2 linked regions of the Sus scrofa genome follow. The protein of the gene in region 1 interacts with the protein of each later gene in a biochemical or structural test. Links are inferred from orthologs where the notes say so. Each region holds a gene or a part of one and is shown in the gene's direction. Other genes may lie near its edges.

Region 1 (5,616 bases):
AGATCTGGCATGGCTGTGGCTGTGGTGTAGGTCAGCAGCTGTAGCTCCTATTCAATCCCTAGTATGGAAACTTCCATATGCCACAGGTGTGGCCCTAAAAAGAAAAAAAGAAATATATGAAAGCTATCTAACCTGTACCAATCATTTAATGTGCAAATTGCATATTAAATATTGACTTTTTCACACAAATGAGCACAATTTCTTTAAAAATGAGGTTGCTAATACCCACAGAAAAATTAGGGGAGATGAGCAGGCTCATTGTCCTGGCTATAACATAAATTGAAATCTTTTAGAAGTCAGTTTAGTAACACATTCATCAAAATTTTCATGTATATGCTCTTTGATCCAGCAATACTACCTCAAAGACTTGCCCGAATTACAAGAAATTGGTAAATCTTTTTTTAAAGAGATGATGATGTAGAAAAGAAGTACGTGGCATAAAATTAAACATACTTTGTTAAGTATTTTGCATAAGTGTTTACAGTATAAACCGTTTTTTTGTTTTTTGTTTTCAGGGCCGCGCCCGAGGCATAGGGAAGTTCCCAGGCTGCGGGTAGAATACGAGCTACAGCTGCTGGCCTATGCCACAGCAACTCCAGATCCAAGCCGCGTCTGTGACCTACACCACAGCTCACGGCAACGCCTGATCCTTAACTCACTGAGCAAGGCCAGGGATCGAGCCGCAACCTCAGGGTTCCTAATCGGATTGTTTCCACTGCGCTACTAGGGGAACTCCCTGAATTTTGTTTTTATTTAATTATTTATTTATTTTTGTCTTTTCTAGGGCAGCTCCCGCGGCACATGGAGGTTCCCAGGCTAGGGGTCCAATCGGAGCTGTAGCCACCAGCCTACTACTCCAGAGCCACAGCAACTCAGAATCTCAGCCGCATCTGCAACCTATACCACAGCTCACAGCAACGCCGGATCCTTAACCCGCTGAGCAAGGCCAGGGTTCGAACCCGCAACCTCATGGTTCCTAGTCGGATTCGTTAACCACTGCGCCACGACGGGAACTCCTGAATTTTGTTTTTAAAAGTACATTTGTACAAAAAAAAAAGCTTAGAAAGTTGTATGCAGTAAACGATAGTTTGGTGTGTGTGTGGTGGGGGAGGCGATGGCAGTGGGGAGCCACGATAACTGTTTTCTTTTAATCATAACTGTACATCTCTTTATTGTTCACTTTTAGGAACGCTTCTATAATTGCTACTCTATAATAGCAGGGGGAAAAAAGTGCATATTTAAAGTAGCTATACTCTTTAGGCGCATGGTGGCTCTTCCTCCTAGAAGGCTGGATTTCCGTTTCACCTTCACTTTCAAGGCTGTAAATGTCCCATCCCTCAAGCGGGAAATTGATGAGGCACCACAAAGCCACCTCAACGACCCCCCCCCAAGCCTAGGCCTGACCTTCACACTTGCCCCGACTTGTCTAACGTCCGGGCGCCGGAACACGACAAAAAGGCGGGGAGCCCCGCAGGATGCCTATCAGCAGGCCCTCGTTAGGCGCAAGATTCCTGCCCCGCCCCTACGCCCACACTCTCCAATGGATGTTCGGGGTGGGACGGGCTTCATGTGGAGCAGGGACACGATTGGCTCCGCAGCCTCTCCGCCCAGGCAGTGGGCGGGGCAGCGTGGTGACGTAGCCATGAAGGGCGTGGGGGCGTAGCGCGCGCTCGCAGACGCGGCTGTATTAAACCGCTGCAGGCGCGGCCGGCTGGCAGTGTGCGTCCTCCGGTTCAGGCTCTGTTGTGGTGTTTTCCTGCTCTCTCTCAACTTCTGAAGCCTAAGCCGGCTACTCCTTCCTTCTTTCTTCCACCTGTAGCCGCGTCGTTGTGATTCCACCACCATGTTCGAGGCGCGCCTGGTCCAGGGCTCTATCCTGAAGAAGGTGCTGGAAGCGCTTAAAGACCTCATCAACGAGGCCTGCTGGGACATCAGCTCCAGCGGCGTGAACCTGCAGAGCATGGACTCGTCTCATGTCTCTTTGGTGCAGCTCACCCTGCGCTCCGAGGGCTTCGACACGTACCGCTGCGACCGCAATTTGGCCATGGGCGTGAACCTCACCAGGTGAGTCCCGAAGCCGCAGACTGTCGGGCCCGCGGACACCCCTACCTCCGCTCTTGGCGGGAGCGCCCATAAGGCGGGCCCTTATTGGCTGGCGTGGGATATCTGCACCTTTCTTATTGGCCTGTGGCGCGGGGCGGGGGGGCGGGACCAGTAGCAGAGCGCGCGGTTCGGAAAGCCCGCGCTGACTGCAGCGCGAACCGGCTGTTTCCGCGCCAAAGTCACAAAGCAAGTGGTGGCGGGAAAACGACGGGCTTCTTCGCGGTGCCAGGAAAAGATTGTTGCGGAGCCCTTGGTTATTAATTGCAGGCGCCTTTAGATGAGCCGCTTTATAATTTGCCCTACTTCTGTCGCCGTGATATGGACAATAGCTTACTTTTTTACCGCAAAGTTGCAGTGAACATCCTAAGATCCTGGATTTGAGGAAAAATTTCTCCAGGAAGGACAGTGGTTTTAAACTTTTTGATCACTACCTTTCCTAGTACATACACATGTTTAAGTTTTAAAGCTTGTGAAAAGTGTTTACCCGTGCTACACTCAATATAATAGACTGGTGCTTCAGTGGGTACATTAAAATCTAAGATCGTCGCGGCCCAATAATTTACTTCACCCACCAAAGGGATTTGTACTTTCTAAAATACTGGTCTTTTTTTTAATATCCCGAAGCGAAATTGCACATTGTGGGGTGTGGGCTTTTTCGTATAAGTATAAATACTGGCAGATTGCATTCCAAAACGGCTGGACTCTCTTACATCTTCCTGCAGTACGTTTCCCAAACTCGCCAATTCGACACGTGGTCCAGTGGTTAAAAGTGGTAACTCATGGTTTTAATTGAGTTAGAAAGCTAACGATCTTGAGAAGATGGTGTCGATTTTAAACTCTTGTCTCCTGTGTTCCAGCATGTCCAAAATACTAAAATGTGCTGGCAATGAAGACATCATTACGCTAAGGGCAGAAGATAATGCAGACACCTTGGCACTAGTGTTTGAAGCTCCAAGTAAGTTACACCCTTCTGAGTTAATGCTAGAGGAGATTAGAATGCAGTGTCTTTATTTCCCAAAGCTGAGAGAAATTTAAGATAGTTTGTGGTAATTGTAAAATTTATCACAATTATAAACCTACATGTTTTTCTTCATCGTTTGCTTTCTTTTGGTAGATCAGGAAAAGGTTTCAGACTATGAAATGAAGTTAATGGATTTAGATGTTGAGCAACTTGGAATTCCAGTGAGTATCAAAGTTTCTGATTGAGCATACTACATACAGTCATGATAGTTACATAAAATATATTAATATAATAAAGCCTACTTCCTAAAAGAGCTTTTTCTGTATATCTGCTCATGTATGTTCCAAATCCGAGTATTTAGACTGATATAAATGATGGTATTCTGCAATGGCTCATTGTTTTGAATTGATTGCTGCCACATGCATATTTGCATTAACCTAATTGACTCTCTTCTTTTTATTCCTACAATGCTTAATTTTTTATTGAGTACATTTTAAAGCTACTTTAGCAGAAATTCATTATGCTTTGGTTTATCAACATTAAATGAGAGAAGAGGGTTTGGATGTTTAATATGCCTAGTAATTGTATTTTCTTGTTTTGTTTTTCAAAAAAATGACGGCCTGTTAGCACCGTCATTGTGTGTGTGCTATACCCTAATGTTCTCTTGATTTAACCCTGTAGATCATTTAAGGGGAGGCTCTTGTTCCCTGGACAGTGCATTTACTATAAAAGTTCAAGTTCTTATTTGTTTCCTTTGATTATTTTATAACATTCTTGTTCTATAACTGTGTTTACGTTTTGAGTGGTTAGAGTATGTTAAGAAATTACACAAAGTGATATTTCAAAATAATTAGAAAACCTTAAATTCTCTTGTTTAAATGCTGAGTCTTCAGACAGTAAGGGTGCCAAATCTTTCATTTCCATTCATTGAACTTAAGTTTCCTTGTTTCATAGGAACAAGAGTACAGCTGTGTAGTAAAGATGCCTTCTGGTGAATTTGCACGTATATGCCGAGATCTCAGTCACATTGGAGATGCTGTTGTAATTTCCTGTGCAAAAGATGGAGTGAAATTTTCTGCAAGTGGAGAACTCGGAAATGGAAATATTAAGTTGTCACAAACGAGTAATGTTGATAAAGAGGAGGAAGCAGTAAGTAATTTCTAAGTAAACACAGTACTTTGAAAAGTAACTTTATGCTGCTGTAACAAGATTCCATAGACTAAGTGGCTTATAAACAACAAAAATTTATTTCTTACAGTTATGGAGACTAGGAAACTGGCAGATTTTGGTTTCTGAACCGCTTCTTGGTTCACAGATAGCAGCCTTCTGTGAAAAGGGGCAAGAGAGAGCTTTGTGGTCATTTGTAAGGATATTCACGAAGGCTCTGCCTGCTTAACCCTAAGTATCTCCCAAAGGCCCCACCTCAAACAGCATTACATTCATTACATTGGGGATTTGGTTTTAATGTGAATTTGGCAGGGGAAGGGGGGATGGGATGGGACATGACCGTCTGTGGCAAGGTAATTGCTAAAATTAAAGAAAACTCTAAAGAAAAATAGTCAAAATTTGCATTTCCAAGTAACTAATTTGTGAGAACTTGAAAGACTTGATGTCTTAAGGTGGTTTATAAATGCCATCTAAATTGTGAGAAGGCAATGCAAATTCAGTGCAACCTTTATAAACTATAGAACAATGGGTTTGTGTATCAAACCCAAACATAGAATAGGATTGGGAAGCTATATATATCCGAATATTGTGGAAAATTTGATTTAAAACAAACAAACTGGGGAGTTTCCATTGTGGTTCAGTGGTTAATGAACCCAACTAGTATTCATGAGGATGCAAGTTCGATCCCTGGCCTTGCTCAGTGGGTTAAGGATTCAACGTTGCCATGAGCTGTGGTGTAGGTCACAGACACAACTTTGATCCCCAGTTGCTGTGGCATAGGCTGGCAGCTGTAGCTCTGATTCGACCCCTAGCCTGGGAACTTCCATGTGCCACAGGTGCAGCCCTAAAAAGACCAAAAAAAAACCCAAAACAAAAAATCTGTATTTGCTATTTTTACCAAGTAAGGACTTTAAAATATACTCATAAATAGTAATAAAATAATATAAAAAAGTATAGTAATAAAAATGCAGAGGCTAATTCTTTTTCTTCTAAATTACATTTCAGTCTTGCCAATCTTCATTTTTGTTCTTGCAGACATTAGTTCACCTGTAACTATTTTGGTATTATTTTGTAGTATAAACATTTTATAACATCTTAAAAATTATGATTTAAGGGACTTTTCAGTGTTCCTATTTCCTTGGTTACTTCAATTTGTTTGAATCAAGATTTTAATAGGGCTGTATATTACAATTCAAAGCATGAATTTTGCCTATGCATCCCTTATGTCAATGTTTCCCTACCCCATATTTTCTGGTAGGTAACAGCTCTGGATGCTTGATGATATTCAAGGCATTATCTGTTGGGGGTGGGAGAGCAAGAATATTTATAGATGGTAGTGTGTATCTCTGGCAGGAGTCAGGAGATTCCTAGATATCTTCTTATGT
Region 2 (5,613 bases), on another chromosome or scaffold:
TTTGGCCCCCATCATCTTTTCTGGGTTTTTGTTTTTGTTTTGTTTTGTTTTTTAGGGCCACGCCTGTGGCATATGGAGGTTCCCAGGCTAGGGGTCTAATCGGAGCTGTAGCTGTGGACCTATGCCACAGCCCATGGCAAAGCCGGATCCTTAACCCACCAAGCCAGGCCAGGGATTGAACCTGCAACCTCACGGTTCCTAGTCGGATTCATTTCTGCTGTGCCATGATGGGAACTCCCCCATCACCTTTTCTGATTTCAGCTGTCTTCATCTATAATCCATGTGTTTTGCTAACATTGTTCCTCTCTTGCATATTCTTCCCCAATCTTTTCCCTTTTCCTTGTGCCTAAGAGGACTCTTTGCAATGGCACCTCCTCCAGGAAGCCTTCTCAGATTGATAAATGTTTACTGATATTGACTTTTTTAACCAACTGTTATTTTATTGAATGAAGTGGAAATTAATAGTGAATTGAAGTGAATAAATGAATCCAAAAAGAAGAATAATAAAATGACCAGAGCTAAAGTGCTTGCAATTTCATTTCCAAAATCTCTGACAGAGTTGAGTGCTTTTGTAAAGCAGAGGATTGCTAGAAGTTTCCAAGTGCCTCAATGGTAGGTCCTGGGCTAGATTAGAGGATTGCTTCGCAATAGGCAGGCTCCAACCTCTTTCCCCAAGATCCTGATGAGGCTATTATTAATAGTTTGAAATTTTTTCCATGTGATTCTGATGGGCATCCTGAAGGGTGATGCACTAGTCTCAATCATTTCAGATGTCAGAATGTTAGAGAAGGAAGGGAAAACATCCTAATGGTTCAGAGGGAGAAACTGAGGTCTTGAGTAAGACACGACTTACTTGCCTAAAGCGATGTCCTCGAATTTCCTATTTTTCCACATGATTTACAACAATCATACTGATTTAATTATCCAATTTACAGGATAAATAGAATTCCAAAATTGGGCTAAATTTTACTATTCTCACTTCTGCTCTGCTTGAGCGATAAATAGATGCTGAAGAAAACCTGTTCTAAGGCTCACAGACTGATTCTGAAGGTCTCTGTTCTGTGAGAGGCTTTTAATTTATCCGGTCACAGTTTAATCAAATGGTATTTAATGTATTCACTCATATATATATATTGGGTACCTACTACTGCGTAAGTCATCAATAGGTCCTGAGGATACCATGATAAATGATTTTTGCCTTCATGGAGCTAATGATAAAAACAGGAATTAATTCATTAACCAATAACACGCTAATAAATAAACACAAGGTGTAATTATTCCAAGAAAAATGACTGTGTTGTAGGAACTTCATGTTGTTGGGGTAGGGGAGAAAAGGCTTCTCTGGGGTTTTGATCTAAGATCTGAAAGTTAGGTAAAAATCAACCAGGAAAAGAGCTGAGGAAAGAGTGTTCCAGGCGAAGAAACAGCCTATGCAAAACCCTGAGGGATTAAACCAGAAACATTCATTTCATTCGTTCCCTCTGAATATATTCACTGCATCTCAAATGCTTCTGAAGCGATGCCTAGAGTTTATTTATTCTATTTTTATTATTCGTATTAAAAGAGTTCATAATTTTAATTTCTGTTGCTATGTGTGCAGCCTATATCCAATTACGACTTAAAAAAACTTCAGTCTTCAGCTAAATCGCAGTTTCAGGCTGTCTCTGGTGCCCTGTGTAAAGCGTTTTGTCACGACGTAGGAACCTGGCCCTTCCTCCTCCCACTCCCCACCCACATACCCCAGCAATCAACCAATAACAGTGTCGATTCTCAGATTGATATCACCCTCCCCCAATCACAGGGCACATGTTCACCGCCAATGACAGGCTGCCGAGGGGGACACCCCGCCCTCAGCGGGAATATCAATAGGGGAGCCCTGGGAGTAATGGAAGCCTCGGCTCTCGCGAGGATTCTCCCGGAGCACCCCTCTTCCCGAGGAAGCGCGTCACGTGATGCGGCCTCACCCAATCGGCGCATCGGCCGCGGGGGTCGCCGCGGTTCCCGCCAAATACGAGCGCGGCGGCCGCGGTAGCAGCGGCGCGGGCGGGAGGGCGAGCAGCAGCGGCCGCCTCAGCGGAGCCCGCGCCTCCTCCGCCTGAGGGGAGTTCGAGACGCTGCCGGGACAATGCTGGAGGAGCCGGAGTGCGGGGCGCCAGGCGCCCGGGGAGCCGCTGCAGGTCGGTTCCGGCACGCGCGGAGGGGAAGGGGGGGCGCGGCGTGCGGCCTGTGAGGGCCGAGGCGGCAGTTGGGGGCGGACGGGCCTCCAGTCCCGGGCCCTCTCCTCGGCTCCTCGCGTTCGGTCCGTGGAGCTTACAGTCCCAAGGAAGGGCCTTGGGACTCAAAGGGCGCTCTTCTTGACGTTATTGTAGCCGCGACCATTTTCTCCCGGCGCTTTTGCCGTCAGTTCGCCCTTCCAGGGCGCTCTGCGGTGACGGGTGTGTGTGGCCAGGAGGGGAAACGGAGGCCCAGAGAGGCGAAAAAGCCGGCTTTGGAAGTTACCGAGTGCGTTTGTGTCCCTTGATAAGTTGGACGCTGCAGCGGCCCCAAAACTGGGTGGAGAAACGGAGGTCCAGGGTCACAAGGGCTCGGGGACCAGAACAGTTGCGTCTGCGGGTCAGGGCAAGCCCAGGTAAGAGGCCCGGATGATAAGGGTCCCGGGTTCTTGATGCTGCCGACCTGTCTTTCTCCTTACTCTGTCTTGGGAGGGGGCTTTCTGGCAGGCCCTCAAGATGGGGGGTGGTGAACCACGGAAGACCAGACGACTTGACTCCTTTTACCCCCAGCACTTGGCAAAATGCTTGGCATGTAGTAGCTGCTCAATAAATGTGGGTTGTTTGAATGAAGGGTTGGCAGGGACCTCAACTAGACTAGTCCAGGGTTTCTCAATCTCAGCACTATTGACATTTGGGGCCGTCCTGTGCATTGTAGGGTGTCTAGCAGCATCCCTGGTCTCCACCCATTAGATCTCAGTAGCAACACTTCCTTCCTAGTTGTGACAATAATGTATCCTAGGCACTGTCAAGGGGCCCCCTAATTGAGAACCACTGTGCTAATTGTTTCCAGACTTTGGGATTTTAAATAGACATAGAATTTATGAAATAAAGTTGGGACCGATTGTCATGGACAGTCATTTGACCGAGTAAGGGTCAATTAAATGGTTAATTAGAAAATTTTAAAAGCACCATCTGTTATGATCATAATACCATAAAAGAGAAAGATGTCTTAATGCTAAATAAAACTAGAAAGAAAATAATTTCAATAAAGAGCAGTGGTAAGTTTATATACACAAATGTGTTAATTGTTATGTATATGTTTGAACAAGCCGCGTCCCTAGATGAGATCCATTTTACATCGACCTGAGGTTGCTTCTGGGCCCAGGTCACTTTTGCTGCACTTGCATTAAAGCTGGTGACTCAGGGACATGCCAATAAATCCTGCAGTTAAACTAAAAATAAATTTAAATTTAAGTGGCTAAGTTAATGTATCCTTTAGCTAGCAGTGGGAAGGTTTTGTTTGTTTGTTTGTTTTTGGTAACTGAAAACTTGAGAATGATATCTTGAAATGGGTGGAGAGGATATGTGAGTCTTCTGGGTACCTTTCTTATATTCCAAGCTTGGAAAGGGGATAGGGCAGCTTCATCTAACGGACAGTTGAGTTTTTAGAAAGCCCCAATCTGCTTTTTAAAAGTACTCATATACATATATATATATATATATATATATATATATATATATATATACACACATACACACACACACACACACACACACATACACACACACTACACATATATATTTTAACTTATATTGGCCAGAATAACTAAATTAGACTTTTCTAAGCCAAATCTAGCAGTTGTCAGCTTCTAAATTTATTCTAGCCATTTCAAGATACCTATCCAAAGATTTGTCTCTATTATGTGCATTTCCCCATCAGCTTTGATATTGTTAGATACTTTTTTTCCGAAGTGTGTGTGTGCAGGAAAACATTCCCCTTGTCATTTCCTTTTTTTTTCCTTCTCTTTACGGCCGCACCTGCCACACATGGAAGTTCCTGGGCCAGGGGTTGAATTGGCGATGCGGCTGGGACCTACACCATGAGCACGGAAACATGGATCCAAGCCGCATCTGGCTCTGTAACCCCCTGAGCGAGACCCAGGGATCAAACTTGCATCCTCACAGAGACAACATGGGTCCTTAACCCACACCTGTGGCATAGAGAAGTTCCCAGCTGCTGGCCTACACCACAGCCACAGCAATGCAGGATCTGAGCCATGTCTGCAACACGACCTACACCACAGCTCACGGCAACGTTTGTTCCTTAACCCACTGAGTGAGGCCAGGGATCCTACTGCATCCTCATGAATACTAATTGTGTTTGTTACCTCTAAGCCACAACGGGAACTCCTCCTTGTCATTTCTTGACAGTACTTTAGCTCCAGTCTGGCAAGCTCTGGAAATGCTTTAGTTATATTACCTTTATAACTGTTTTATTTTTATTTTTTATTTTTTTTTTTTTTTTTGTCTTTTTGCTATTTCTTTGGGCCGCTTCCGCGGCATATGGAGGTTCCCAGGCTAGGGGTCGAATCGGAGGTGTAGCCACCGGCCTACGCCAGAGCCACAGCAACGCAGGATCCGAGCCGCGTCTGCGACCTACACCACAGCTCACGGCAACGCCGGATCGTTAACCCACTGAGCAAGGGCAGGGACCGAACCCGCGACCTCATGGTTCCTAGTCGGATTTGTTAACCACTGCGCCATGACGGGAACTCCATAACTCTGTTTTAAAAGAAAATAAACCTTATTCTAATTGTACAGATTTGTTTGTGGGGATTAGAGGGGGATGTTTTGATTTGGGGTCATATTAATGGTAAAATCCATGATACAGTGTTTTCTCTCATCTCTACTTTTATTCAGTCCTCTTTTCATTGTCCTTTTTATTGTGTTTGTTGATTTCTCACTGTGTGCCAAACCCAAGCCCGTGCTACAGATACAGTTTGGAACCAGTCTCTCTGCTGTCACAGAACTGGCTTCTGTCGCAGGAAGACATAAACACAGAAGTCTCAGAGTGATAATTGCTCAAGGAAGATAAAACAAGAAGATGTCACATTGTCCAAGGCAGAATTTCTCAATCTCTTAACATTTGGGGCCAGATAATTCTCTGTCGTGGGGGACTATCCTGTGTATTGCAGAATATTTAGCAGTATCCCTATCTCCTACCCACTAGATGCCAGTAGCACCATCTCTCCAGTCATCACAACCAAAAATGTCCTTAGACATGGCCAAATGTTCCTGGGAGTGGGGAGAACAAAATCAACCCCCTGAACAACCACTTTCTACATAGCAGGTACTATATATGTATTTGCTACTTTATTATTTCCAATATCTAATAAATTACTCTTTGCCACTTATTTCACAGCCATGGATTGCAAAGACAGACCAGCTTTTCCAGTCAAGAAGTTAATACAAGGTAACTTTCTGGGGATGGGTTAAATATTTGGTCCTAGTTTATATCCTTCATTGTCTTCTCCATTGCATTTTTAATTCCCCTTGAGCAGAGGCCTTCTCTTGGGGTTCTCAGCAGAAGTATCAATGGGCTGGAAGGAAGAAAACAGTT

Evidence for each region. The genes of interacting proteins can lie anywhere in the genome.
Region 2: the proteins of PCNA (region 1) and CHAF1A form a complex in vitro, tested with the Homo sapiens proteins (4 studies listed by BioGRID and IntAct). The link is inferred for Sus scrofa from reciprocal best matches to the Homo sapiens genes PCNA and CHAF1A.

Annotation. Positions count from the first base shown.
Region 1 is NC_010459.5:14,138,771-14,144,386, reverse strand, and holds the start of PCNA (proliferating cell nuclear antigen), read left to right. Parts: upstream 1-1,802; 5' UTR 1,803-1,843; coding exon 1,844-2,064; intron 2,065-2,960; coding exon 2,961-3,058; intron 3,059-3,217; coding exon 3,218-3,285; intron 3,286-4,018; coding exon 4,019-4,213; intron 4,214-5,616. UniProt on the Homo sapiens protein: Auxiliary protein of DNA polymerase delta and epsilon, is involved in the control of eukaryotic DNA replication by increasing the polymerase's processibility during elongation of the leading strand.
Region 2 is NC_010444.4:74,408,172-74,413,784, reverse strand, and holds the start of CHAF1A (chromatin assembly factor 1 subunit A), read left to right. Parts: upstream 1-1,909; 5' UTR 1,910-2,125; coding exon 2,126-2,177; intron 2,178-5,415; coding exon 5,416-5,466; intron 5,467-5,613. UniProt on the Homo sapiens protein: Acts as a component of the histone chaperone complex chromatin assembly factor 1 (CAF-1), which assembles histone octamers onto DNA during replication and repair.